6 linked regions of the Macaca mulatta genome follow. The protein of the gene in region 1 interacts with the protein of each later gene in a biochemical or structural test. Links are inferred from orthologs where the notes say so. Each region holds a gene or a part of one and is shown in the gene's direction. Other genes may lie near its edges.

What was found.
Region 2: the proteins of ACVR2A (region 1) and BMP2 form a complex in vitro, tested with the Homo sapiens proteins (3 studies listed by BioGRID and IntAct, with this or other methods). The link is inferred for Macaca mulatta from reciprocal best matches to the Homo sapiens genes ACVR2A and BMP2.
Region 3: the proteins of ACVR2A (region 1) and SYNJ2BP form a complex in vitro, tested with the Homo sapiens proteins (2 studies listed by BioGRID and IntAct, with this or other methods). The link is inferred for Macaca mulatta from reciprocal best matches to the Homo sapiens genes ACVR2A and SYNJ2BP.
Region 4: the proteins of ACVR2A (region 1) and ERBIN interact in a test that uses a peptide from one of them, tested with the Homo sapiens proteins (2 studies listed by BioGRID and IntAct). The link is inferred for Macaca mulatta from reciprocal best matches to the Homo sapiens genes ACVR2A and ERBIN.
Region 5: the proteins of ACVR2A (region 1) and GDF2 form a complex in vitro, tested with the Homo sapiens proteins (2 studies listed by BioGRID). The link is inferred for Macaca mulatta from reciprocal best matches to the Homo sapiens genes ACVR2A and GDF2.
Region 6: the proteins of ACVR2A (region 1) and BMP7 are reported together in a solved structure, tested with the Homo sapiens proteins (2 studies listed by BioGRID, with this or other methods). The link is inferred for Macaca mulatta from reciprocal best matches to the Homo sapiens genes ACVR2A and BMP7.

What each region holds. Positions count from the first base shown.
Region 1 is NC_133417.1:52,892,762-52,897,273, forward strand, and holds part of ACVR2A (activin receptor type-2A), read left to right. Parts: intron 1-626; coding exon 627-770; intron 771-1,790; coding exon 1,791-1,936; intron 1,937-3,606; coding exon 3,607-3,721; intron 3,722-4,512. UniProt on the Homo sapiens protein: On ligand binding, forms a receptor complex consisting of two type II and two type I transmembrane serine/threonine kinases.
Region 2 is NC_133415.1:77,222,781-77,227,749, reverse strand, and holds the start of BMP2 (bone morphogenetic protein 2), read left to right. Parts: upstream 1-1,727; 5' UTR 1,728-3,030; intron 3,031-4,270; 5' UTR 4,271-4,277; coding exon 4,278-4,623; intron 4,624-4,969. UniProt on the Homo sapiens protein: Growth factor of the TGF-beta superfamily that plays essential roles in many developmental processes, including cardiogenesis, neurogenesis, and osteogenesis. Induces cartilage and bone formation.
Region 3 is NC_133412.1:143,543,262-143,547,773, reverse strand, and holds part of SYNJ2BP (synaptojanin-2-binding protein), read left to right. Parts: intron 1-706; exon of another isoform or gene 707-1,253; intron 1,254-1,435; exon of another isoform or gene 1,436-1,626; intron 1,627-1,921; coding exon 1,922-2,058; intron 2,059-4,512. UniProt on the Homo sapiens protein: Regulates endocytosis of activin type 2 receptor kinases through the Ral/RALBP1-dependent pathway and may be involved in suppression of activin-induced signal transduction.
Region 4 is NC_133411.1:74,026,333-74,031,472, forward strand, and holds the start of ERBIN (erbin), read left to right. Parts: upstream 1-1,911; 5' UTR 1,912-2,927; intron 2,928-5,140. UniProt on the Homo sapiens protein: Acts as an adapter for the receptor ERBB2, in epithelia. By binding the unphosphorylated 'Tyr-1248' of receptor ERBB2, it may contribute to stabilize this unphosphorylated state.
Region 5 is NC_133414.1:61,456,931-61,460,826, forward strand, and holds the end of GDF2 (growth/differentiation factor 2), read left to right. Parts: intron 1-266; coding exon 267-1,210; 3' UTR 1,211-3,035; downstream 3,036-3,896. UniProt on the Homo sapiens protein: Potent circulating inhibitor of angiogenesis. Signals through the type I activin receptor ACVRL1 but not other Alks. Signaling through SMAD1 in endothelial cells requires TGF-beta coreceptor endoglin/ENG.
Region 6 is NC_133415.1:110,054,430-110,059,438, reverse strand, and holds the start of BMP7 (bone morphogenetic protein 7), read left to right. Parts: upstream 1-1,453; 5' UTR 1,454-1,567; coding exon 1,568-1,985; intron 1,986-5,009. UniProt on the Homo sapiens protein: Growth factor of the TGF-beta superfamily that plays important role in various biological processes, including embryogenesis, hematopoiesis, neurogenesis and skeletal morphogenesis.

The sequences.
Region 1 (4,512 bases):
CTATTACTGTCTTTTAGTAGTGAAAAGAAACTAATCTTTTATAAGAAGATACTTAGTAGACATGGATCGCTTGCAGGCACAAATGAATATATGGTGTCTTAAATTATTGCATTGCATATGTATGCCCCTTGCTTTCTCATTGACTTTGCAGGGTATGCTAAACATTTTTTGAAGGATGTTTGATATTATGTTAGTTTTTGAAAAGAAGATGTTTTCTATTTAGAGGAAGTCATTCTGCCTGAATTTCATCTTTCAAGGAGATTATTCTGAATAGTACCACAAGTAGCTTCACACCATGATGAAATTACAATGTAATACTTGCAGTAACTTATGTGTTGCCATTGTAAGATACAGAATGCAGCATTTCAGATCAACTTCTGTGTTTGTAAACTAGAAACACAGAAAAGTACGTTTTGAGGGAATGGACAGGGCAGGCATTTCCTATAAATTTGTTAACCTATTGTCAGAGCTTTTTTCTTATTACAAAACAGAACAAAAATTTTTTAAAATACTTTTTTGTTTTGTTTTGTTTTGTTTTACTTTGGAACTTATTTGAGTAATCTCTTAGACATGGTTTATTTACCCGTATTCCTTGTGTTCTTACTATTCTTTCTTTTTGACTCTAGGACAAACAGTCATGGCAAAATGAATATGAAGTCTACAGTTTGCCTGGAATGAAGCATGAGAACATATTACAGTTCATTGGTGCAGAAAAACGAGGCACCAGTGTTGATGTGGATCTTTGGCTAATCACAGCATTTCATGAAAAGGTAAAACTATTTAACGTTTTACTTTAGTAAAGTCTGAATTGGCCTGCGTACCTAATGTTAGCTATAAATCCCTCAGCGTTATTTTTCGAGACATGTTATAGTTGATTAATATTTAACCTGAAAATAAAAATCATTCTTGAATAAAAATGTTTTAAAAGGTAGTTTATTTTAATAAAAGAGCAAAGATGGCAAATTTTCAACCTAAAACCCTACTCATATAAACCACCCTTTTGTTCCTTATTTCTTGTGCTGTAATTACTCTTACAAACATTTATTTTAGTATAGGTAATGCTTAGTAATTTTCACTTACCATTTACAATTCATTTTGATTACATGAACCATTTTTTTCAGTTTTAATCAGTCTTGCTTAGTGACAAAACCAGAGTCAGGAAATTTATCTCATCTTTGATCTGTCACTAACTTGCAGGGTAATTATCACCAACACATAATTGCTAGTTTTCCTCATTTTTTCTGCTTTTAGAGTCAGTGTGAAAGTACCATTAATGAAGTAGGAAATTATGTTTTTGGTAATTGGTTTCATCATTGTGAAATGTAAGTGGTTCTTTTACTTCTGTTAATTCTTGACCTAAAGGACAACAATAATCTCTAGAAGAATATTCTATATATTAGTTGTTGTTTTATGTTGTTATTTTGTGTTCTGCTAGTCCCACGATGTAAGAACTCTATAGTCAGGATATTTTAACTATTAAAATATTTTCTAGAACCTTAGATATTCAGCTAGTGTTTAAAACAAAAAACTTCTCTTATGGATTGGTGGAAATTGACTATTCTTGTAACAAAAGTTTAAAGCTCTGGTATTTCTTTCTGGTCAAATGTTTATTAATGTGAAATGGAAGGAAATTTTAACCATTCCAGAAAGATTGTTTCTTGGATATTATTTTTCCCTGAAAGGAAAGATAATGCTGCCTTCCACAACTTCTTATAGGTAAAAAGAAAAGTCTCCTTATACATACGGCCTTTGTCAAGAATGTAAGTTTCTATTTTTCTGTCTTTTTTTAGGGTTCACTGTCAGACTTTCTTAAGGCTAATGTGGTCTCTTGGAATGAACTATGTCATATTGCAGAAACCATGGCTAGAGGATTGGCATATTTACATGAGGATATACCTGGCCTAAAAGATGGCCACAAACCTGCCATATCTCACAGGTAGACTATATTTGTATTGTTTTCCCAGGTAATTGAGTATACATTTACTAAACTTTTAAGCCCATGGGTAAGTTTTAATTTTTCCTTTGTTATTCAGTCATGCTTTACAAGACAGTTGGTTTTCATTTGTTTTTTAAAGTTAGCTTTGAGATTGGCCAGGAAGTATTTTGGATAATGTATATATTAACATTATTGGTAAAGTTTAATGATCTACTTCATCTCATTTCTGAAAGCATGATTGAAAATAAACTCTATTTTCTCAATCTCAAAGGAAAAAGACATTTGTTTTACCTCAAAACGTGATATACTTTAAAGATGATTATAAATAGGGATTATTATCCAAGGGCATGTAATGAAGGAGAGACTTTGAATGTCTCCCTTGCTTGTTTTTTGAATGACCTTATTATCTTTACCCTGAGCCAAGGTAGAGGGCGGCATCACTTAAACAGTTGTCCAGTGAAGAAATAGTTCTTAGACCCAACACTTGTCATGCCCGCAAAAGGAAAAATGATTGCGTCTTAAACATGGAATTCAGTTTGCCATGTATTTAATTTTCTTGAACGTGGGATTCAATTTGTCGTCTTGTGTTCAATTTAAAGATGGTTGTTTGAAAAGTAGGCATTAACTGATTCATGGAACAGGTACTTAGCTGAGTGCCACCAGGTGATGTTTTAGGTTGCTGGGAGCCATTATTGTAAGTCAGCCTCTAATTTAAGTTCTGATTTTGCAAACTTTAAATGACGTCTACCTCAGAAATAACTCTTTCTTCTCACTTTCTTACATGCAGTCTATTGGCCTCTTCTTGGATTTTCCCTTGCTCTACCTGGCCACATAGGGAATTAATCCTTAAGAATCCCCAGAGTTATTAAGAAAAGGTCCTGAAAGTCTTTTGAAACTAAGATTGATTGGCTTTTATAGCATTTGGGAGTGTCTACTCTTGCTTTCAATATCCCATTCTTGGTCTATGTATCTGTACGTAAATTTAACCACTAGTCATGGCATAGATGTATTTAATTAGGGTATAGTAATCTCTAGGATGAGCCAGTTGAGACAGGTGTGTAGAAGAGGATATCTTATTGCCTTAAAACTGTTACCCTTTTCAGAACACCAGGATCTAGCTAGAGCAGTGTATGTTTATGGTAAAAAGTTTCTATTGTCCATGCCGTAAGATGCTTTTCTATAACTGGGTGGAAGAATATAAGAACCTCTATAATAAGGGATTATTCTAAAATGTAGGTCTGTACCAATAAACAGAAGGCCTCAATTCAGCAATATTTTAAAAATTTCTTCATTTTGGTTTAAATTTCAGTTTCTATGGGAGTTTGCAAGTAAGAACTCTAAAATATTATCTTAGAAAACAGTAGTTTTGTGATTGGTAGGTGGGTGACATAGGTAACATATCTTTTTGACATGGCAAATGTTTATATAACTGCTTTATAGATAGGATTCCTTCTTATTGTCCATGTTATGAATAGGAGTTTGTCACTGTGCTCTTGTGTTAAAGGCTACATGGGGGCTCTGAGCTTTTTCTTTCTCCCTTTCTCTGCATTTCATAATTTTAAGTAACTATTTTTTCATAGTGTACATATTCCCCCTCTTTTCTGCTTTCAATAAAAAATTTAAAACGTAACTTGTCTAAACTTAATTTGAATACTCTTTTTATTTGCAAGGGACATCAAAAGTAAAAATGTGCTGTTGAAAAACAACCTGACAGCTTGCATTGCTGACTTTGGGTTGGCCTTAAAATTTGAGGCTGGCAAGTCTGCAGGCGATACCCATGGACAGGTAAGGACGATGATTATAAAATATAAGAAAAAATAAACTTGTCCCATATTTTCTTAGAATGGCATGTCAGGACTGAATTAGTCTAAAATTGTTGTGGTGGTTAAATCAGCATCTAACAGTGTTATGTGTTAAAGTTTCTGAGGAAGACATTTTCATACGATGGTAGAGGACTCAGGTGGTTTAGATTAAGCAGTTCATAAAACAATAACTTAGACACGTGTCGTAGGATTGTTTTTGAAAAATTGATCAAAGAATAATCCAGCACCTTTTAATAGACCTCATTCTTAGGGAATTCTTCGTATGAACTTAGTAGTTTTAGTCTGTTAGTTCTTTCACCATATTAAGAAGAGTGGAAGAATAATTAGTCACTATCCTTACCTACAGTGTATTAAATTCCCTGTCCATTTTCCCATGCAATAATAGTTTATTGCTTCTTGTTGTTTATTGCTTCATTCATTTCTTTAATCAACGTGATGGCTTTTCTCCAAATTCTCTCCAGAGTTCAGAGCACTTGTAAACCCCTGAATTAGGTAACTCTGACATCTCTGTATGCCTCTATGTGCACAGAGATCTTAGTAATAGGAACCTCTAGGAAGGCCAGAAGGGAAAAGAACATTATCCATACATTTTATTCTCAGAAACTTTGAGGCTGGAAAAGATGTTTTCATTCCTACAAGGTCACCTTTTATTTTTATTTATTTATTTATTTATTTATTTTTTTTTTTTTGAGACAGAGTCTCGCTCTGTCACCCAGGCTGGAGTGCAGTGGCATGATCTTGGCTCACTGCAGC
Region 2 (4,969 bases), on another chromosome or scaffold:
CCACTTAGCAAGTTATGAAGTTCTAAAGCTGCAAGACATCCTTGATGTCATCCCAGGAGATTTATTTTTTATTTTTTCTTCGGGTGCATCCAATAGTTACCAACTTGTCTTCATCTTTAAAGGCTACTTAAATCTCACTGAAGTTTTGTTTTGTTTTTGCAATCTAAGTAATGACAGAAACGACTGTTAACTTCTTAATTAAACTTGATAGGAAAGGAAATAGTTTCAGAAGCCTGTGTCTAGGAGTAGAATACGTTTCATCGCCGAGTTGTTTGCGGTCCAGTGACTCTGAGTGACAATCAACTTCTATAGCACTTTTTTTTTTTTTTTTTTTTTTGGTCAGGAAATAAAGTAGCATGTTCCTGAATAATTCCCCCCACCCCGTTTTATTTTCCTGGTAGTCAGGCTTCCTCCAAAATACCTTATTTGACCTTCATACCTTTAGAAACAGCAAGGGCCTGATTCGCCTCTGTGGGTTGCTAATCCGATTTACGTGAGCGGAACCTGGTATTATTTTAGCTCCCCCACCGAAAAAATAATACACATGGATAATAGTTTTATTACCAGCTCCCGCTTGACTTTTTTCTCTCTGGTTTGCAGGCCCGATAGCTCTGGGAAAGTAGACCGTGGCCTCTTCCAAAAATGTTCTGCCCTTGATTTCGGGAATCATTTGGGCAAGCCCGAGGTGCTGTGCATGGGGGCTCCTGGAATCCAGGGAAGGCCAGAAAGCCTTGGCCCCAGACTCATCGTGCAGCAGCTCTGAGGAATGTTTCGGCTGAGGAGTGACTTGAGCGAATATTCAGCTGAGGAGTGACTTGGCCACGTGTCACAGCCCTACTTCTTGGGGGCCTGATGGAAGAGGGTGGAGTAGAAGGTTCCAAGGTCCCAAACTGAAATTGTCCTGTATGCTTGGTTCACACAGTGCGTTATTTTACCTTCCTCTGAGCTGTTAATCGCCTGCCTCTGAGCTGGGTGAGATAAACATCACAAGGCACAAAGTGGTTGTACCATGAAAAGAAATCAAATCCCTCCCATCCATCCCTCAGGCTGCCACACACACAGTCTACGTTACACACATGTCACGTAAAGCAGGATGACATCCATGTCACACACGTAGACATATATTTACCGAAATGTTTACCTTCGGTTGCATATGTTCTCATATATGAATATATAGAAATATATGTACATATTTTTGTATATTGGATATATTTATATAACTGTAACATGCATATGGATATGAAAATAAATGCACACACATATTTATGTAAAAGGAAATTTGTACACATGCATTTACATATGTAAATACATACATCTCTTTGTATTAATGTTTAAAAACACTCAATTTCCAGCCTCCTGTTTTCTTTTAATTTTCCTCCTATTCCGGGGAAACAGAAGCGTGAATCCGACGTCTATGCTATGCCAAAATGCGCTGTAATTGAGGTGTTTGTTTTGTTTTGTTTTTTGAAATTGTATATTATCGAAAAACTCCAAACTGAAAGTTGAATAACGGGCCCAGAGGGGAAATAGAAGCCAGACCCTGACCCTGCATTTGTCCTGGATTTCGCCTCCGGAGTCCCCGCGAGGGTCCGGCGCGCCAGCTGATCTCTCCTTTGAGGACAGGGAGTGGAGGCGCGAGCGCCCCCCTTGGCGGCCGCGCGCCCCCGCCCTCCGCCCCACCCCGCCGCGGCTGCCCGGGCGCGCCGTCCACACCCCTGCGCGCAGCTCCCGCCCGCTCGGGGATCCCCGGCGAGCCGCGCCGCGAAGGGGGAGGTGTTCGGCCGCGGCCGGGAGGGAGCCGGCAGGCGGCGTCCCCTTTAAAAGCCGCGAGCGCCGCGCCACGGCGCCGCCGCCGCCGTCGCCGCCGGAGTCCTCGCCCCGCCGCGCTGCGCCGGGCTCGCGCTGCGCTAGTCGCTCCGCTTCCCACACCCTGCCGGGGACTGGCAGCCTCCGCCGCACATCTGCCGCCACAGCCTCCGCCGGCGACCCGAACGTTCTCGGGGCCAGCGCCGCGCGGATCACCGGGGACCGCGAGGCATCCGCGCGCCGCAGACCCCGCGCGGGCTGGAGCACCCGGCAGAGCGCGCCACAGCGCCGTGGCCTCTGCTGCCCCGGCTGCGCCAGAGTCGCGGACGGGCGCGCAGAGCGCCGGCGACTCCGGAGCCGATCCCTAGCGCCGCGATGCGGGGCACCTACTGCAGGAGATCGGGGGCCTGGGAAGCGCCGGCCGAGGTGTGATCGGACCCCAGGCTAGTCACAAAGGGCATTTGGCCCCAGGGTTAGGAGAGAGAGGAGAGAGCACAACCACCCGCCTCGGCGGCCCGGGACTTGGCTCGACTCGCCGGAGAATGCGCCCGAGGACGACGGGGCGCCAGAGCCGCGGTGCTTTCAACTGGCGAGCGCGAATGGGGGTGCACTGGAGTAAGGCAGAGTGATGCGGGGGGGCAACTCGCCTGGCACCGAAATCGCCGCCGTGCCCTTCCCCGGACCCGGCGTCGCCCAGGATGGCTGCCCCGAGCCATGGGCCGCGGCGGAGCTAGCGCAGAGCGCCCGACCCTCGCTCCCTGAGTCCTGGAGCCGGCCCCGCGCGGGGCCACGCGTCCCTCGGGCGCTGGTTCCTAAGGAGGACGACAGCACCAGCTTCTCCTTTCTCCCTTCCTTTCCCTGCCCCGCACTCCTCCCCCTGCTCGCTGTTGTTGTGTGTCAGCACTTGGCTGGGGACTTCTTGAACTTGCAGGGAGAATAACTTGAGCTCCCCACTTTGCGCCGGTGCCTTTGCCCCAGCGGAGCCTGCCTCGCCACCTCCGAGCCCCACCGCCCCTCCACTCCTCGGCCTTGCCCGAGACTGAGACGCTGTTCCCAGCGTGAAAAGAGACTGCGCGGCCGGCACCCGGGAGAAGGAGGAGGCAAAGGAAAGGAACGGACATTCGGTCCTTGCGCCAGGTCCTTTGACCAGAGTTTTTCCATGTGGACGCTCTTTCAATGGACGTGTCTCCGCGTGCTTCTTAGACGGACTGCGGTCTCCTAAAGGTAGAGGACGCGGCCCAGGGGCCGGGGTAGGTGGTAGGTGGGAGGGGGATTTGGGCAGCCACTGCGGCAGAGCCCTTCCTTACGTCCAGGCCAGAAGTAAACAGACCCCTTTCCAGTCCACGTGCAACGGAGCCCTGCGGGGTGCCCCCTTCCAGCTGTCCCGGGCGACCATCAGCCTCACCCTCCCGGCCCGCACTCTTCCACCCCTCTTTCTTACCCTCTCCCCGGAATACTTTTGGAGCTGTTAACACTTAGATGAGGTGTTTTGTTTATTTATTTATTTTTAAATTTTTAAATTTTTAAATTTTTTAATTTTTTTTTTTTTTTGAGTCAAAGAAATCCCTTTGAGAGGGTAGCCCCTGGGTTTCACCCGTTAGCTGAGAACCTGTCCACCCTGCCATGGCGCTCTCCCTTCTTCTAGTGTTTCTGGGAGACTTGGTTTCTTTACTCAGAGCCCTATCCCATTGAGAAAAGTACTAGGAGTTGGGGCTCTCCCTTCTTGTTTCCAGAAATGCGAGGGGTCAGTACTGAAGAATCACTTGGTGCTGTGTTTTTAACAGCTGACACGTGCATTAATAGATATTCACCATGTATGTAATCCCAGGAAGATACATGAGTATCTTGACCGTACTACGGGGATGCGGGATGGAGTTGCCTCTCCAGACACCCCTGAGTGTAGGGGCGTGGGACACAAGTTGTAAGTGGCTTCAGAAGTTGTGGCCTTGAGCTTACAGGGTCTGGAAGTTATAGGGGTGTGTGTGTGTGTGTCAGGAAGTTCTATACAGTGCCTCTAAGGAAGTCACATGCACCATTTGTGTGTGTTTATATGCCAGAGAGCGCTCAGCGCTCTGCATTTGGGTTTGTATAGGGGACGCAGGGTGTCAGACCAAGCGGTGGTTCTCCCAGGTTCCCAGCATTGGCAGTCAGCGCTGTGTTACACACAAAAAAGTGACAGTCGTTGGCGCTGGTTTGGTTGGGAGGGGAGGGCAAACCCCAAATCTGATGTTAGACAAGTTAAGAGTTGGATGGGAGCGATAAATCACCTGGTTCTGGAACTTGGGGCCCTTCATTATCCCAAACATTTGAGCTTCGGTCGGTCTTACCTAGACTCGCGAGTGTGCCAAGCCAGGAGGGCACCCTGGAGGAGGCACGCCAGCCAAATGGGAGCCCGGGCCGCGGGGGCGCGAGGGGGGAGGACTGGGCGGGGAGCTCGGGTGACTCACGTCGGTCCTGTCCGCAGGTCGACCATGGTGGCCGGGACCCGCTGTCTTCTAGCGTTGCTGCTTCCCCAGGTCCTCCTGGGCGGCGCGGCTGGCCTCGTTCCGGAGCTGGGCCGCAGGAAGTTCGCGGCGTCGTCGTCGGGCCGCCCCTCATCCCAGCCCTCTGACGAGGTCCTGAGCGAGTTCGAGTTGCGGCTGCTCAGCATGTTCGGCCTGAAACAGAGACCCACCCCCAGCAGGGACGCCGTGGTGCCCCCCTACATGCTAGACCTGTATCGCAGGCACTCGGGTCAGCCGGGCTCACCTGCCCCAGACCACCGGTTGGAGAGGGCAGCCAGCCGAGCCAACACTGTGCGCAGCTTCCACCATGAAGGTGAGGCATGGAGCAGGGCGTGGGGGCGGGGAGTCACCCTGCAAAGCCCTCCACCGTGGGCAGACTGCAGCCATCCCTATAGAGGCAGCTTAGCCAGGGCGCCAGCGGACGTTTCCACTCTTGCTTCTGTACTATGGTTTCTGAATCTGATTTTAACTCACTGCTTGTGTGGTGGTGGAGCCAGGGATTCCCCTTTAGTAACTCCGCACCCTCTTCCTGGCTTGCAGCCAGAAGAGCTACTCCTCCCGGAAGAATTGGAGAGAAATCAAGTGATGGGGAAGATGAGGGCAAAAGGCATGCCCCTAGTCAGCTAAACGTGCAAGAATTCCACAGAGGGAAAAGGAGG
Region 3 (4,512 bases), on another chromosome or scaffold:
TTCCTCAGCTGGGATTACAGACGTGAGCCACCGCCCCGCCCCCTCCCCGCCCCGCATATGTCTCTTTAAGTATCTTTTCTATTGTGACCAGTGTAGGCTGGTGATTATGGTTATTCCTTCCAATTGCACCACCAGATTTTTGGTTCTTGTTTCCAAACTATCTCCTTTCTCTTACACTATGGCCCTGAATTCTACCAGTAGCTGACATTAAGAACCCTAGGGAAGTTCCTTTTTCCTTTTTTTTTTTTAAGCATAGGTAAAATCCCTTCATAACAATGGTTTCTGTACAGTGAAATCCTTTCTAGCACTTAGTTGTTGGTCCATGGAAATAGCACTTTGATACTCAGTTTTCTTTCCTTCTCTTTTTTCTTTTTAAAAATATTTTATTTTACTGTGGTAGGAACACTTAACGTGAGATCTACTCTGAACAGATTTTTCAGTGTACAATATAGTATTATCTATAGGCCAGTGTTGTACAGCAGATCTCTAGAACTTGATTCATCTTGCATAACTAAAATTATATGTGTTTAAAATAGTCAAACTCATAAAAACAAATATTAGAATGGTGGTTTCCAAGGACTTAGGGAAGAAGAACTGGGGAGTTGCTAATCAATGAGTAGTCAGTTTTTTCTACAGTGAATAAAACTTGTCAATTACTATACCCAAATATAGATTGAGTAGCCCAAATCCAAAAATCTGAAGTCTGAAATGCTTCCAACTCCAAAACTTTTTTTTTTTTTTTTGAGATGGAGTCTTGCTCTATCACCCATGCTGGAGTGCAGTGGCGCGATCTCGGCTCACTGCACCAACTCCAAAACTTTCTAAGGGCCAACATGATGTTCAAAGCAAATGCTCATTGAAGCATTTCAGATTTCAGATTTTTGGATTAGGGATGTTCACCTGGTAAGTTTAATTCAAATGTTCCAAAATCCCCCAGATTCAAAATTCAAAACACATTTGGTCCTAAGCATTTTGGATAAGGGATACTCAACCTATATATGGTTGTACTTGAAGTAGCAAAGGAAGGGAAGGTAAATTTGGTGATTTAGTCCTACCATGAAACAGCAGTTACCTTTCTGGTTCTGAGGTTTCTCTGCCAATACCTACACCACTGCCTCCACCAACCAAAATAGAAAGAAAAAAAAAAATGAAACTCTCAAGAGATTTTTCCAAAGCACTATCATACATAAATTCTCCAGAAGCTTGGGAGAAGGAAAGTGTGGAAGGGAAGGTATGGTTAGGAATCTCTCACACTAAATTAGGAACAGTTCATTTGATAATTGGTAAAAATGCATAGCTTCTTCTCATGAACACAACTAACCCTGCTGTGGTAATATCAGGAATGTCAGGAATTGGGTCCTTTGAATACCATCAACAGGATCAAAATTAAATGTGAGTAGAAGAATTTACATGTAGGCTGGGCATGGTGGCTCACACCTGTAATCCTAGAACTTTGGGAGGCCAAGGCAGTAGTGATTGCTTGAGGCCAGGAGTTCATAACCAGCCTGGGAAACTGAGTTATGAACTCCTGAGTAGCTGGGATTACAGGCGCCCGCCACTATGCCCCCTAGCAAGACTGTCTCAAAAAAAAAAAAGAAAAAGAAAAAAAAGAAAGAACTTAGAGTAATCACCATTACTCTTTAAGTTCTATATATATCTTTCTTTATATATTCAACAAAACAGGTGAATCACTGTGTTTATATTTTCAGTTGTGCCTCATTTGAGTGAGCAACTCAATACTCTTGATACTGCTGACCTTGTTCATGACCATTCACCAGCTCCATCACAGCCTGACTCGCCAGCGTCTCCTCTCCATCAGCCTTTCCTGCCCAGTAGGCTTTTCCTCCCTTTCTCTTCATCTTCTCTAATCCCTTTCTTTCTTCTTCACCCCCATCTTTTTACTCCTCCATGATTTTCTCAGGGCTGGGCTTCAACATCGTCGGTGGGACAGATCAGCAGTATGTCTCCAACGACAGTGGCATCTACGTCAGCCGCATCAAAGAAAATGGGGCTGCGGCCCTGGATGGGCGGCTCCAGGAGGGTGATAAGATACTTTCGGTGAGAATGGGCTTCGGCCTCCTTCACTGTCCTTTGCTCCCTAAGCCCTAGGTCCTACCCCTATCCCTTTCCTTGGAAAGATTTGGGTCTGGAAATATACAGATTATAGAGCTGAATGGGAGCAACTCTGATCAGTCATTCTTTCCAACCCTATCATTGAGCATGGAGGGCAATATTATGCTCACCTGATAAATGAGAATGTGAAGCCCAGAATGTGAAGTTACTTGTTCAAAAAGCACGAGGCAGGAAGCAGCGAGGGACTCATACGGGGAAAAGAGATATAAAATCCACAAATTTTGTCTTTCATCCATCATTGCCTCCTTTTGTTGATTAAAACACTAATGTGTATCTTCCTTTGGGGGAATGTCAGCCCTTATAATTGGATTTAACTTCAAAAAACAGAAAGAAGGAAGGTTGGAATTAAGTGTCCTTTTCAGACTCAGAGCCCTTTTTCACCCATTATTAACATGAAAATTTGGAATGCAGTTGATTTGGGTATCTGTCCACTGTGTTCCCATTTCATCCTGCTAATGTCTCTACCAAGACTTACTACATGGAAATTATTAATCTTATTCTTTTCTAGAATTTCCTCAAGGGGAGTGACAAGATCCTTTTTTTTTTTTTTTTTTTTGAGATGGAGTCTCGCTCTGTCACCCAGGCTGGAGTGCAGTGTCATGATCTTGGCTCACTGCAACCTTTGCCTCCCGGGTTCAAGTGATTCTCCTGCCTCAGCCTCCTGAGTAGCTGGGACTACAGGTGCCTGCCACTATGCCCAGTTAATTTTTTGTATTTTTAATAGAGATGGGGTTTCACCATGTTGGCCAGGCTGGTCTCGAACTCCTGACCTCATGATTCGCCCTCCTCGGCCTCCCAAAGTGCTGGGATTAGAGGCGTGAGCCACCGGGCCTGGCCTAAGATCTTTTTTTTAACATGTTGAATCATAGCGCAATGTTTAATAATGTTTAAGAAATGAACAAGTTAAGAAATTCAGGCAAACCTAAAAAGACTAGCTGATAAATACGGGCCCACAGACCTCAGGTCTTAAAATAAATTAGAACAAGCCTACAGTAAAAACTATTAAAATGCAAAATATAACTCTGGCCCTATTGTTCATTTCTCCACATTACCATAGGTCACAGTAATCCTATGATACTATCAGTTGCTGGGGGATAAGGAGGTGTAGATTGGAGATAATTATTCTGTAGAATTTCTTTTTTTATTAACTTTCAGGACTAGTGAAAAATGGCCAACTTATTACTCGTATGGAAACAGTACAGATGGTTGGTATAAAGAATGGAAAAATGCTGAGGGTGTGAGATATTATCTAGAATATTCTTGGGAGAGCTGGCTTCAAAGGGCTAGACTTAAATAAAAGGAAATTGAAATAGGATAGGGCTTCTCATAGGAGAAGCTCCTAAGCAGAAGCTCCTGTCTTCTCCAGATGGGCCATAAGCCCACGGTCTGAAGAGGAGAAAACTATTCCCTGTTTTCTTTTAGAACTGAATAGGGCAGGATGGCCAGGTTGGGAAAAGATTGAAATAAATGAATGAAGTATAGACAGGAGAAGTCTTGATTGACAGAATTAAGTATTAGTCTCAGAGACATGATTTTGAACCTACCTCTATAATAAGTTAGCTTCATCCCTTAAATTTTTTTTGCTATATAGTTTCATTTGAATTTCACTTCACTTTTCATGCAGTTCAGGTGATTAGTGATTACAGGTCATACGTGTGAAATCTCTTGCTCTTCTTAGTTGCCAGCTTACTGAACACTTCTCTGCCATGCAGCCCATTTGGTAGTAGTACCTGAAGGCAGAGATACAAAGGAAAAGAGAAAGAACATCCATCTTCTCTTCATTTGGCATCTGAGTATTTGAGTGATCAGGCTCAGCAGTATGGATCTGAATGCCTCTTCAGGAAGACCGTGACTCCACTTAGTCCCCAAAAAAGAAAGAAAATCAGAACAAGTAGCTATTAGAGCCACCTAAATTAGCTCAAGAATGTCTAAGCATGTGTCCTCGCTGATCTATAATATAAATATAGTATCAAGCACCACAGTATTTCAGTCCTTCTCATTGACTGTTTTGCCTCTCTTCCATCCGTTAAGCTTCTCCTAGACCCTATTTATTAATCTGTGAGATGGAGACAGTGATAATATACTGTCTTCTCAAAAGGATAGTGAAAAGTTTAGAAGCAGATTATTTCCTTTAGCTCCCAGGGAAAGACATTCATCCAATATGAATCAACTTGGCAGTGGTACTGTAAGGAAATGCTGAGAGTGGGTTGTTAAAATAAAGGTGTAGCATGTAGTTAGAATCTATGCAGCTTAATATTTTGACACATAAATTACATTATCCTCAGAACACTGGAATCTGGGCTCTGTGGATGAAGAATAGGAGTTAAGAAGAGAAAGAAGAGAGCTATATTATTTTAAAAGCTTTGGTTAAAGGTAGAT
Region 4 (5,140 bases), on another chromosome or scaffold:
GTACTTTTCTAGCGTGGATGGTAGTCTGCCAGCTTGGTCCTGAGTATGAGTTTAAATTTTAAAAACGTTAGGACCAAGGTAAGTCTTAGCCTAAAGCAGTGGCCTGATCAGTTGTTTAAGTTTTGAGAGGAGGGTTAGGTTTACTCGAATCTATGGCATCACATTTAAAGGGGTCTTGAATCAACCTGAAATTAGAGGCAACACTGGAATCCCAGAATCTAGCTGGTTTTCCACTAGTATGGGAGATATTCCATCCTGGGATGCCTTAGGAGAGTGACCCTTTCAGTTCAGAGCTATGCCACTGAGTTCTGATCAGACACAAAGCGGTTTTTGAAAATGGAGCAAGAAATCTTCCTAGCGATGATTACAAATAGCTTGTACAATATGTTAACTTTAGCTTTTTATGCAATGGTTAAGATTCATTTTCACATAAAATAGATATCCAGCTTGGTAACACTGGCATAGCTACTGTCATTTCCTAGCTTCCAGCGAATACTCTTACCTCTAATTCAGCACTGAATATATCTGAACACTTCAGTACTACCTGTAAATCTTCAACTTCTGCTCTATGCTAAATAACCTAATACCTGTATTAATTCCAGCAGTTCTTCAAGTAGTTAAAAATGCTCCCAATCTGAATAAAATAACTTGAATATCTTCGGCGTTATTTCAAGTGTTTGTATCTAACGTCAACTCATTTTGATAAATAATTACTTGGTGGAATTTACGAACTCTTTCCATTGGCAAGCCAAAAAAAAAAAAAAAAAAAAGTCTGTAGGGGATATAGCTCTTTATTCAAACTTGGTAATAAATAATTATCTCTGGAATACAGACGGAAGAACTGAACCAGAGACTTCAGGGACCCACAGGCTAATTATCATCACTGTACACAGTTAAGTACAGCAGAGAATGGGGGTGGCGAATGGTTTGCTCCGCAATACGCTCCTTCTCTGGGTAAAACAAGGCCGTCTTTTCTGTGAACATATTTAAAGCAAGAACTGCAAAAACTGTACAATGTTATGGTTGAGGCTTTCTATTTGCCATATGTGTTGACAGAATGCTTAAGAGTCTCTCTCCGCAATAAACGCAAACCCTGCCAGGCTGAATTATTAGGGCCAGTGCAATTCAACGACTGCACCACCACCCAACCGCTGGGGTTGGAAGCCTGCGTCGCATCGGAGCGTACCCATGTTTCCTCTAACAAAGGCACGATCTTGAGGCCATTTCGCGGGCCCTTTTTCCCCTCTCAGCGCCAGCTTTGTCTCCCCGCCGGTGTCAGGCTGGGACTTGGAGGAGGCTGAGCTGCGCCGTTGGGGAACAAGCTCGAAGGGCGGGCGTGGGAAGCTGCGCCGCGCTGCCGCTGTGGTTTCCTGCGACCTGAGCGTGCCATTAGAGGAAGGTGGAGTGCTGCAGCTGCAAGATACCTGCTGCCTTCAAATCAGGGCTGGACTCCAACAACCCCTGTGCACCGATTACTGTCGTACAAAGAAACTCCATCGGCCGGGGCGGCGGAGGCCTGTGGGCTATCTCCCTGGCTGGGCGCGGGGCCGCTAGCAGACAGCAGGGTCGGCGTCGCCAGCGTTCCCCACCTTGGGGGGCTCAGAAGTGGGGGAGTGCGGGGTCGGGGAGCGGGCGGGAGACAGGCCTCGGGTAGCCTGGGCCGGAGCGGGCCTCACGGCTCGCCTTTCACGGGAACCCACGGCCGCCGGCTGCCCCTCCCACAGCCCCCGGCCCACCGCCCCCCGCCGCCGACGTCGGCCCGCACCGCCCCCGCGCGCTGACTGGCCCGCGCCGGCCTCCTGCCCGGCTGTTGGCGGTTGGGGCGAAGCCGGCGGGAGACCGCCCCGCCCCCGCCCCCGCCGCGGAGCCGCGGCGCGCAGCCTCTTCACCCGTCGCGGCCGGGGCGGTGGCGCTGTTGCCGCCGCGGCTTGTGAGGCAGTAACTCCCCTCCGCCCCTGCCCCATTCCTCCTCCTTTCTCTCCGCTCCCTCCATCCTCCCTCCCCTCGCGGTCTCTCGCCCGAGTGAATGTGGCGCGGCGGCGCGGGACGCAGCCTCGGCCCCTGCCGCGGCCCCGCAAGCTCGTGAGAAGACAGAGCTGCCGCCTGCTCCCGCCCCCTGCGCGTCTCGGGGAGCCACCGCCGCTGGGGAAGGAGAACGAGCAGGGCAGCGGAGGGACGGCGGCGGGAAAACGGGAGAGGGAGAAGAGGGTTCGAGGGCGAGTAGGGAAAGCGGGGAGGGACGGACGGAAGGACGGACGGCCCGACGGACGGCCCGGGCAGGGGGCCGCCATTGAGCCTGCCCGACTCCTCGGCTCCGGCTCCGGGTGGCGGCGGCAGCGGCGTCGCGGACGAAGGGCGCGGCAAGCTCTATCGAGACAATAACCCTGCCGCCCGGCTCTGGGGGCGGCAGAGAGGAAGCGGTGGCGGCCTAGCGCAGCCGAGGCTCGCCGAGCGCCCGGGCAGTGTCCTCGCCCCCGCCGGCCGGGTGCCGTTGCCGTCCGGTGTGCGGGGCGCGCCGGTTGCCCGGAGCCCGAGGCTCCCGGCGGCTGTCCCTTCCCCTCCCCCTCCCCGGTGCGCGTTGAGCTGGTTTTCCGGGTTCCCCTGGACGGAGCTGGATTCTGCTTCTCGCCAAGGCAGGAAGTGAGTTTCGCACTGCAATTCCGGGCAGTGTCACGAGTGAAAAGTTTTTTTTTTTTTCGGCGGAGATCCTAGTTGGGGCTGGGAAACTCCTGCAAAACTAGAGACCAGGAAGCCAGCCCGCACCCCAACCCCCACCAAAGCCACCTACTCTTCTGCGGGAGGCCAGTCCACATCCGCTCTCACCCGAGAGAGAAATTCAGCTGGATCCAAAGTGACTAATGAAGGCAAGGAAATCATGTCAAGCGAAGCCTTGAAAAAGCTGCCCTGAGACGCTGTCGCGCCGAAAGGTAATTTTCACGAAAAGTGTCTCTGAGTCACAAAGTTCATGGGACTTTGTGACTTGGAAAAGAGATGATCTTTTAGTGTTTTTCACTTTTCTCCAAGTTACCCTAAATCTTCCTCTCTTCATATCGAAGCGGATAATAATTGAGAGGCTAAATAATCGAACTGCAACCCCCCTGTCTCCCCTCTCCCCCCTCCCCGCCCCACCATCTGGACTTTGGATTTTTTGGAAGAGGTTGTAAGAATGCGGTGGGACAAAAAGTTTTCAGCAATCCGAAGAAGGAGTGCCTTTGTTCCCAGGGGCCAGAAGTTTTGGCTTTCTGGAACGTATAGAGTGTATATTAAGTTGCTCAGCCTGGTACCTTCTGTTTGAGAAGAAAGTTTGGTCGCTGCAGCGAGTGATTTGCTGTTATTGAGATGGCTGCCGCGTTTGTTTATACTCCTACCGATTATATTGGCGCTTGCGTTAATCGTATATAGAGGTTTTTATTGTTTTATTTCCAACTATGATCAGTATATTTAGTTAGATTTTAGAAACCAAAAAATCTTGCCATTCTTAGTTGTTTTTCAGGGTAATATATTTCTTTAGTTGTGTGTAATTGTTTTTTTTCAGACGTTTAGCGCTGTATAACTTGTTTAATTGAAAGCAAGTATCGACTAGACTTTTCTTGTAACTGATCCATTACGAAGAAAAAAGGAGTAAGGACTAATAATAAAGAGAGAGACATAATTAAACAATAATAACAACAACCTGTAAGACGTTTGATAGGACTTCTGTGCAGTTCAGAACAGACTATATGGGAAGGGAAGTAAAACGCTTGAAACGATTTTCAAGGGAATCACAGTGATTGTGATAAAAAGCTATGCTTTTTGAGTAGTATGGTATTTACATTTTTGTGTTGGCCCAAATGTTTTTGGTCGGTTCTGCATAAATAGTGGTAGGTTCTGCCTACATCTGTGGGGACAGGATTCATGAAGCATGGCAGACATTCCACCAGTCAGAGCTATGAACACTTCTGAACCAATGGGGACTAGTTTTGATAGCAGCAAACCCAAAGCTTTTTTCAGTGGTGTTTTAGTCTTTTTCTGTTTAGCTTTTTGGTGCAGGGAGGTGAAATACAATACTGTAGTTCTGAATATATATTGAATAAATTTGGTAACCTGTTGGTAGGTATATCCTGAATATATATTGATGTTTAGATCGCCTGTACTGTCTCACGTAATGACCGGAAACCCGAAGAGAGAGTTGATTTTCTTTAGTTCAAAGAGAAAAAATAGGTTTTAAAGATCAGGATCAAATTATTTCACAATTTGTTCTTTGCTACTTCAGCTTCATTAAGTACATCTCCAAAGGCAGTCTTTTATTTATTACAGTAGTTTTGATTTTTTTTTTTCCTCCCCAGGGCATGGTCTCAGGAGATTTTTTTTTTCATTGTTGTTAAGATTTATGAACCATCGAGTAATTCCTGTTAAGTCAAACTAGCTTTATCAAAGAATTTAAAGTGCATAACTCGTATACTTTATGATTTTGGAACGTATCATTAGGCTGCAAAAGAGTTTATTCTTGGGCATCTGAAAGAACTGAACAAAATAAATGGCATTGAACTTCAGTTTCCTAATATGGCTTATACTTGGCTTTAAAAGCAACAAAACCTTAATAGAGCAAGTCCTTTATAGAGAATTATCGCTTTATGAAGATGGTTATTTATTAGTAAATTTTGTATAAAAACAGTATTGTAGCACTTGAAAATGACTTTAAACCTCTAATTTTAGATTTAGTCCTTGATTTTTTTTTCGATGCAGACAACACATTTTATAAAGTGAGGTGTTGACCTTTGTGTTTCTTTTTTTCTCTTCAACAAGGCATAATGTACTTGTAGTTTTCTTGGAATTCTGTTAGTTTATCACTGAATTAACTTAAATTTTAGGTTTTATACTACTGTCAAACTGTAAGTATTTTCGAAGCCTTGTTTAAACTGTGACAAAGGTTTAAAAAGAGGTTAAAAGAACAGTCATCAGTTAAAATATTTTTAAATGGCTTCAAAATTTGGATATTCTTCTTAGTATGGTGTGGATTTTCTAAGATTAAATGGCAAATAGAGAGAGCTTCCAAAGTGTATGTTGCACAAAATGCACACTTAAAGGCTCTGTTTATTGAAGGTAATCATGAATTTTCAGGACTTCGACTGATTCAGGTAGTACTGTTGTGAAGTCTCCT
Region 5 (3,896 bases), on another chromosome or scaffold:
GCCTGGCACACAGTAGATGCTCAATAAACAGTAGGAACTGTCAATCCCAATTAGAGGCATCTCCTGCCTTTGCTTTTCTTTGGAAGATCTTAAGTATACCTTTGAAAATACTCTTATAACTTAAGGGCTTGGGTGAAACCAAATAGAGATAATACAGACCAAAACTGTTATCCCAGATGCTCTTCTGTCTAAACCCTGAGACTCAGCTTCAGTGTCATGGAAACAGACCCTTCGGCAGATGCCCACCAGGTGTGTTTGCATTTCAGATGCCATCTCCATGACTGCCACGGAGGACTTCCCCTTCCAGAAGCACATCTTGCTCTTCAACATCTCCATTCCCAGGCACGAGCAGATCACCAGAGCTGAGCTCCGACTCTATGTCTCCTGTCAAAATCACATGGACCACTCTCACGACCTGAAAGGAAGCATGGTCATTTATGATGTTCTGGATGGAACAGATGCCTGGGATAGTGCTGCGGAGACCAAGACCTTCCTGGTGTCCCAGGACATTCGGGATGAGGGCTGGGAGACCTTGGAAGTGTCCAGCGCCGTGAAGCGTTGGGTCCGGTCCGACTCCACCAAGAGCAAAAATAAGCTGGAAGTGACTGTGGAGAGCCACAGGAAGGGCTGTGACAAGCTGGACATCAGTGTCCCCCCAGGTTCCAGAAACCTGCCCTTCTTTGTCGTCTTCTCCAATGACCACAGCAGTGGGACCAAGGAGACCAGGCTGGAGCTGAGGGAGATGATCAGCCATGAGCAAGAGAGTGTGCTCAAGAAGCTGTCCAAGGAGGGCTCCACAGAGGCAGGTGAGAGCAGCCACGAGGAGGACGCAGATGGCCACGTGGCTGTGGGGTCGACTTTAGCCAGGCGGAAAAGGAGCACCGGGGCTGGCAGCCACTGTCAGAAGACCTCCCTGCGGGTAAACTTCGAGGACATCGGCTGGAACAGCTGGATCATTGCGCCCAAGGAGTACGAAGCCTACGAGTGTAAGGGTGGCTGCTTCTTCCCCTTGGCTGACGATGTGACGCCGACGAAACACGCTATCGTGCAGACCCTGGTGCATCTCAAGTTCCCCACAAAGGTGGGCAAAGCCTGCTGTGTGCCCACCAAACTGAGCCCCATCTCCATCCTCTACAAGGATGACATGGGAGTGCCCACCCTCAAGTACCACTACGAGGGCATGAGTGTGGCAGAGTGTGGGTGCAGGTAGTACCTGCCTGCGGGGCTGGGGAGGCAGGCCAAAGGGGCTCCACATGAGAGGTCCTGCATCCCCCTGGGCACAACAAGGACTGATTCTATCTGCATGCCAGCCTGGAGGAGGAAAGGGAGCCTGCTCTCCCTCCCCACCCCCCAACCAAAGCATACACCACTGAGCTCAACTGCCAGGGAAGGCTAAGGAAATGGGGATTTGAGCACAACGGGAAAGCCTGGGAGGGTTGTTGGGGTGCAAGGAGGTGATGAAAAGGAGACAAGGGGAAAAGTAATCCAGAGTCAACAGAAAACAACAGCAGTGAGCCAGAGGAGCACAGGTGGGCAGGTGACTGCAGAGATTGATGGAGATTAGAAAGGTGGAGGAGGCTGGCTTATTCCAAAACCCTTGGGGAGTAGAGGGAAGGAGCAGGCTGCACGCCACACCCATCACTGCATGTTATTTCCTACAATCCAGTTAGAGGGGCATGGCTTCCAATTTAGAGACAGAGAGACAGAAACACAGGCAGATCAAGTAGCATTGGTCAATGGCATGATTCCAACCCAGAGTTGTGGGACACCAAAGCCCAGGATCTTTCCAAGTGCCCCGCTGCAGTTAAGCAGGTCCTCTCCAGCTAAAGAGCAGTGAGACATTGGGAGCCCAGGAGTGTTGAGGCCGGGCCCGGCTGAAGCCCATCAGTCACAAGTGTGACTGGGCTACTTGTCACATACAGGGCGTGGTCTGGCCACTGTTGCCAGTGCTCACTCAGCGGCCAAATGCTTTTTAATATCACCCCTGAGGCACTGAAAAACTAACCCCAGGCCAACTGCAGGACAGAGAGAGAGGTCAGGACAGCAGCCCTGTGGGCTGCATGATACACTGTGGCCAGAGCTATTGTGACCCCCTGGTGCAGTGCTCCCACGGTCAATGGTGCACACGGGGCCACTCACTGTCCATGGACTGATACCATGTGACCGTTTGAGAGGGCTGGGCACACTTTCTCCTGAGGGAGGGGGTAGCCTGTGGCCAGCACTTCTGCAGTTACTCAGCATAGCCAGACCACCAGGATGTGGTGCCCAGGGTGCCCCCCAGCGACAACCCAGGGGAGACGGGCCTGGATTTGAATTTGTTGGAATTAAATGTGCTCTTGCTTTGGTCTTTGAAACATACCTATTTTTAATCCTTGGTGACATGTCCTCAAGTGACAAGACTCCAGCCTTCCTGGGCGAGGCCTCCCCAGCCTCGGAAGAGCTGCAGTCCTTATCGGCGATCACTGGCTCTGCCTGCATTTGCCGGCTCTCTTGAGTCACGTGCATCCCAGCACCCCGCCTGGGCTCGGATTGTGGGACCAGATTCAGCCTCCCCGAACCCAAGGGATGATAAGGCTTCCATTTGCTCTGTGTTTCACCCTCTCCTCTGACTCTCCTGGCCATACATGGAACGGGGCAGTGTGAGGAAGAATCTGAAAGTGATGAAGAGTGCACCTATGGCCCTCTGACCTCCAGCCAGAGCAGGGCCTAGGGGAGGCTTAGAGAAGCCAGTGCCTCTCCCCATGGTTGAAGCTCCCGTTTATTTAAAAAAAAAAAAAAAAGTGGGGGGTGGGGAAAGTGTTATGTTAAATGTTTACATGGAACCAATGAACAACTTTAACACAAATATACAACACAACATTCTTGTTTAATTACTGGTGTTAGAGAAAATATGAATTCCTGCTACATGCCGGGCAGTGTGGTGTTACAATGCTATTCCATGTTGGGTGTTGAGCATCTTCTTTCAGTCCTGGTGCTGTGCTTCTGTGCCTGCTTGAAAGTTTCACTTGGAAATAAAGTCAAATGTCTAATTTGCAGCCCCTCCTAATGTGAGACCCAATCTTGAGGACCCTGTAGACTCACACCCTGCCTACCCCACCCTCCGACCCCACTGGGATGGGCCTCCTTTTCCTAAGGAGGCAGAGGGGAGGGGACAGGCAGCCACCTCAGGGCTGGGTGGATGCAGGTGGGTGGTGTCTGCAAACTGGGTGAGTGATGTGGTGCGTCCACACTAGGGTGAGCGATGCAGTGTGTGCACACTGGGGAGAGTGATGTGGTGCGTGCACACTGGGGAGAGTGATGTGTGTGCACACTGGGGTGACTGATGTGTGCACACTGGGGAGAGTGATGTGGTGCGTGCACACTGGGGAGAGTGATGTGTGTGCACACTGGGGTGAGTGATGTGTGCACACTGGGGTGAGTGATGTGCTGCGTGCACACTGGGGTGAGTGATGTGTGGGCACACTGGGGTGAGTGATGTGGTGTCTGCACACTGGGGTGAGTGATGCGTGTGCACTCTGGGGTGAGTGATGTGTGTACACACTGGGGTGAGGGATGTGTGTGCACAATGGGGTGAGTGATGTGGTGAGTGCACACTGGGGTGAGCGATGAGGTGCGTGCACACTGGGATGAACGATGCAGTGTGTGCACACTGGAGTGAGTGATGTGGTGCATGCACACTGGGATGAACGATGCGGTGTGTGCACACTGGAGTGAGTGATGTGGTGCGTGCACACTGGGGTGAGTGATGCGTGTGCACTCTGGGGTGAGTGATGTGTGTGCACACTGGGGTGAGTGATGTGTGTGCACACTGGGGTGAGTGATGTGGTGCGTGCACACTGGGGTGAGTGATGTGTGTGCACTCTGAGGTGAGTGATGTGGTGTGTGCACACTAGGGT
Region 6 (5,009 bases), on another chromosome or scaffold:
TGATTGAGGGATGAATAGATGAGGAGAGGCAGGAGAGGAGGCTGATGGGGAGGTCTCAGGCACAGACCCTTGGAGGGGAAGAGGATGCGAAGACCAGCGGCTGGCTCCCCAGGCGGGGAGGGCTGATGGGAACCCCTAGTGGTGGGGCTGGGGTGTCTGGTCTCAGGCTGAGGGGTGGCTGGAAAGATACAGGGCCCCTTAGAGGAGAAAGTGGGAAGAACCCCCCAGCTCAAACGAAGTTCACTTATTCACTCAACAAATCGTGATTGCGCAGCCACAGTGGCTACCAGGCGCTAGGTTCAAGGCACTGCGGGCACCAGAGCTGCGGAGAAGATCGCTGGTCCTGGCCTCAGTGCGCTGGGCGTCTAGCGGGGATAAGAAGGCAATAAAGACGGCACGGAGTAACTCAAACAATTCCAGACAGCAAGAGAAATTACAGGAAAGAAAACAAATGTACGTGGGGGTGAGGCGAGGAAACAACCTCAGCTTGGCAGGTCTTGGAGGTCTCTGGGAGAAAGCAGGGTCTGATGGGGGGCGGGAGGTGGTGAGCCGGGAGCCGTCCAGGCGGAGGGAATGGCGAGCGCAGAGACAAGCTGGCAACCGGTTCAGAGAGGCGCGGAGGGGTCAGCGTGGCTAGCTTAAAAGGAGACGGGGACTAAGGGGCAAGACCGCCTCAAGGGTCACCGCTTCCAGGAAGCCTTCTATTTCCGCGCCACCTCCGCGCTCCCCCAACTTTTCCCACCGCGGCCCGCAGCCCACCGGTCCCGTTCGAGCCGCCTTCCTGGTCCGGACCACGAGTGCCAAGAGGGCAGGGCCGGCTTGGATTCCTCCAGCCGCATCCCCGCGACGTCCCGCCAGGCTCTAGGCACCCCGTGGGCACTCGGTAAACATTTGTCGAGCGCTCTAGAGGGAATGAATGAACCCATTGGGCACAGCTAGGGGGAGGGCGGGGCCGAGGGCAGGTGGGAGGCCGCCGGCGCGGGAGGGGCCCCTTGAAGCCCGTCCTCCTCCTCCTCCTCCGCCCAGGCCCCAGCGTGTACCACTCTGGCGCTCCAGAGGCGGCCTCTTGTGCGATCCAGGGCGCGCAGGGCTGGGAGAGCGCCCCGGGGCCCCTGCTCTCCACGCCAGAGGTTGGAAGAGGGTGGGTCGCCGCCGCCTGAGGGCGAGAGCGCCAGAGGAGCGGGAAGAAGGAGCGCTAGCCCGCCCGCCTGCCTCCTCGCTGCCTCCCCGGCACTGGCTCTCTGGACTCCTAGGCTTGCTGGCTGCTCCTCCCACCCGCGCCCGCCTCCTCACTCGCCTCTTCGTTCGCCGGGGCTGCTTTCCAAGCCCGGCGGTGCGCCCGGGCGAGTGCGGGGCGAGGGGCCCGGGGCCAGCACCCAGCAGGGGGCGGGGGTCCGGGCAGAGCGCGGCAGGCCGGGGAGGGGCCATGTCTGGCGCGGGCGCAGCGGGGCCCGTCTGCAGCAAGTGACCGAGCGGCGCGAACGGCCGCCTGCCCCTTCTGCCACCTGGGGCGGTGCGGGCCCGGAGCCCGAAGCCCGGAGCCCGGGTCGCGCGTAGAGCCGGCGCGATGCACGTGCGCTCGCTGCGCGCTGCGGCGCCGCACAGCTTCGTGGCGCTCTGGGCACCCCTGTTCCTGCTGCGCTCCGCCCTGGCCGACTTCAGCCTGGACAACGAGGTGCACTCGAGCTTCATCCATCGGCGCCTCCGCAGCCAGGAGCGGCGGGAGATGCAGCGCGAGATCCTCTCCATTTTGGGCTTGCCCCACCGCCCGCGCCCGCACCTCCAGGGCAAGCACAACTCGGCGCCCATGTTCATGCTGGACCTGTACAACGCCATGGCGGTGGAGGAGGGCGGCGGGCCCGGCGGCCAGGGCTTCTCCTACCCCTACAAGGCCGTCTTCAGCACCCAGGGCCCCCCTCTGGCCAGCTTGCAAGATAGCCATTTCCTCACCGACGCCGACATGGTCATGAGCTTCGTCAACCTCGGTAAGGGCAGGCGGGGGTACGCGTGTCTGTTCGGGGGCACTTTGAAACCGGGAGGGAGGGAGCCGCTTCTTCTATACAGCCCGCCCAGCTTTCTGCTCCTGGTTGAAATCGCAGTGCCTGCCCGAGGGTCTCCCACCCACAGCCCTATGGCTCCCAAGCTGTGTGCGCCTCCAGGTCTGGCGCGCTGGGCTCGGTGGGCCTGTGGGGGTTACTGGGAAGGAGGGATCTTCGGAAGTCCCCTCCATGTTACGCCGCCGGCCGCATCTCTGGGACTGGAGGCGCCGGCCGTTCAAAGCGCGGGGCTTGGTCATGTGAGCTGTCCTGGGCTGGCGCGGCTCGCGCTACCTGGATGTAAAGGGCCCTTCCCGGCGAGGCTGCCTTCCCGCCCTTCCTGGGCCCCTCTCAGCCCTGCCTGGCCCTGGCATCTCGGCCGTCGCACTCCCTTACCCGCCCTGACAAGCCCTACCTGTCCCCTAGTGGTGCGCCCGCCTTAGCCTACCGCGCGCTCCGAACGCCTTGGGGCCCCTCTCCGGGCCGCCGGATGCCCCATTCTCTCTTGGCTGGAGTTGGGGAGCTTGCTAGTTTGCGTTCTTTTATTTTTTCTTTTTTTTCTTTCTTTTATTTTCTTTTTTTCTTTTTTCTTTTTTTTTTTTTTTGAGACGGAGTTTCGCTCTTCTTGTCCAGGCTGCAGTACAATGGCGCAATCCCTGCTCACCGCAACCTCTGCCTCCCGGGTTCAAGCGATTCTCGTGCCTCAGCCTCCCGAGTAGCTGGGATTACAGGCATGCACCACCACGCCTGGCTAATTTTGTATTTTTAGTAGAGACTGTGTTTCTCCATGTTGGTCAGGCTGGTCTCGAACTCCCGATCTCAGGTGATCCTCCTGCCTCAACCTCCCAAAGTGCTGGGAATACAGGCGTGAGCCACAGTGCCCTGCCTCTAGTTTTCTATTTTAAATATTTAGTGGTAGGTCTCAGGCCGGCAGAATCCATTTTCAGCATTTATCACGTGTGGCGCGCAAACCACAGGTTTTGGCGATTGGGTTGCGCGGGATCTCCGAGCTGACGCCGCGGGGGCGACTGGGGGTCCCGGTTTACGATTGGAGCCGCGACGACCCCGGGGACGCGAGCCTGGGGCTGCGGCGAGGGCCGGGGAGCTCCCCCTCCGTCTGCGCGCACTCATTCTCCAGACTTGCTCAAACTAACCCCCGGCAGCGCTCTGCGGGACTGATGATCAAATATTTGGTTTCCGAGATAACACGCCCGGATAGCGCTGTTTCCTGAGCGCTTTCATTCTACTTGTGTAACTTGCTGCGAAAACCCGAACCAAGTCAAGACAGCAAACTCACGCCCACGGGCGCTGTGTCAACATGGAAATAATGATACTGAAGCCCCACGCTGGGCACCTGGGGCGTGGACTGGGGGCGCGGGGAAGCGCAGATCCGCCTTCATGCTTCCCCCTCCTGATAAGGTCCCTGGAGTTCCCGGGGAGGCCATTGTCTGTACTTAATAACCAAATCCAGCTAGTGAGCCAAGCTTCAGCGAGCAAGGGGTGGGAGGTTTAGATGCCAAAATACCTTCAAGAAAGTTTAAATTATACTAAGCAGCCAGTTAAGAGGGAAGCAGCAACATATGACCTGATTTAGAACCATCTCCCAGATGCATGAGGTGGAAAGAAGCAAGGTGCAGGTGAGCGGCCTGCATGTATGCTTTTGTGTATCATCGTGTCCTCCTGGAGGAAGACACCAGGAACTGGAGATTTTACTGGAGGGCTAGAGAGGTGGGGGCACAGCTGGGGCTTAGGGAGTGGGAGCTGGGGTCTAATGTTTCATTGTCTGCACTTCTGTATTGGTGATTTTTTTAAAAAAACAATGCGTATTTATTAACTATACCAAAAACTAAAGGAAAATTCCAAATACATACACACAAATAATGAACGCAGAGCTCTGTCGCCCTCCTGAAGCCTGGGGTTAGCCAAGGCCCTTTCTCTGGTGGGGGATTTATGGCATCTTCCATTCTGTTGGGTACCCTGGACTCCCACTGAATGTGCAGATCCCAGCGGCTGCCTTCAGAGCCTGGCTGGGGTCATTAAAAAGGTATTTGTAATCTCCGGCTTCTGTAGAAGGCCCTGCAAACCAAGAGCAAAAAAGCTGCCACTGCTTATGGGCCGGCGGTGTGGGCTAGGCCCCAGGGGCTCCCTGTCCCCCAGAGAAAGACCAGCTTGCTCGGAGGGTGCCTCTGGGAACCTTGGTGCTGGCTATTTGCTTCCCCCATGGCGGCAGGAGCAAGCTGGGACTTGTTTGGGAAGGCCACAGCTGGGTGGTTTTCCTCCTCTGGCTGTACACACACCTTTCAATCCATTTCTTTCATCTTGAAAGGACAAAGACCGGCTTGTCTGAGCCTCTTAATCAGTCAGGCTGGCTTTGGGCTTTGTGGGACCCTGACTTTCTCAGGTCTAGCTTTCTGGGACATCACTCCAAATTAGATGGCAGAGTGGCTTTTAACAGAGTGCACTGACCTTGTTTTCTTTCTCTCTCTGTCCCTAAACTCGAGGTCATTAGTTAGGTGAAGACCTGGGCTGCAGTTTGGCAAGACGCTTCCTGTAGATGCTTCTAATGTTGGCCTTTAATTTCTGCTAAGCAGCAGCACAGGAATAAATTGCCTGTCCCTTCTGTTCTGTTGTAGCCTGGAATTTCTCCATAGGAGGGACTTGGGGGTGGCAGTAGGGTTGAAGAGGGTTGGGGGGAGGTGTAGCAGACTTGTCTGGCCACTGAGTTTGCTGAGAAAGAACACTGCTATACTGTTTTTCCTTGGATTGCAAATCATGTTGATCTGTAGTATTCAGTTTTCTAAAGGTAAGTTTATTCTCACAATTTACAGAAGAGTGAGAAAATATCACTAGCACATATCAAACCATTCCTTATTATTATGGTGGGACTTTGTCGGGGGGGTGGGGCATGGGTGAGGATCTTGGCAGCCTCTGCTGCCCCATCCCCCTGCACTGCATAGCTCTGCTGTCTTGCAG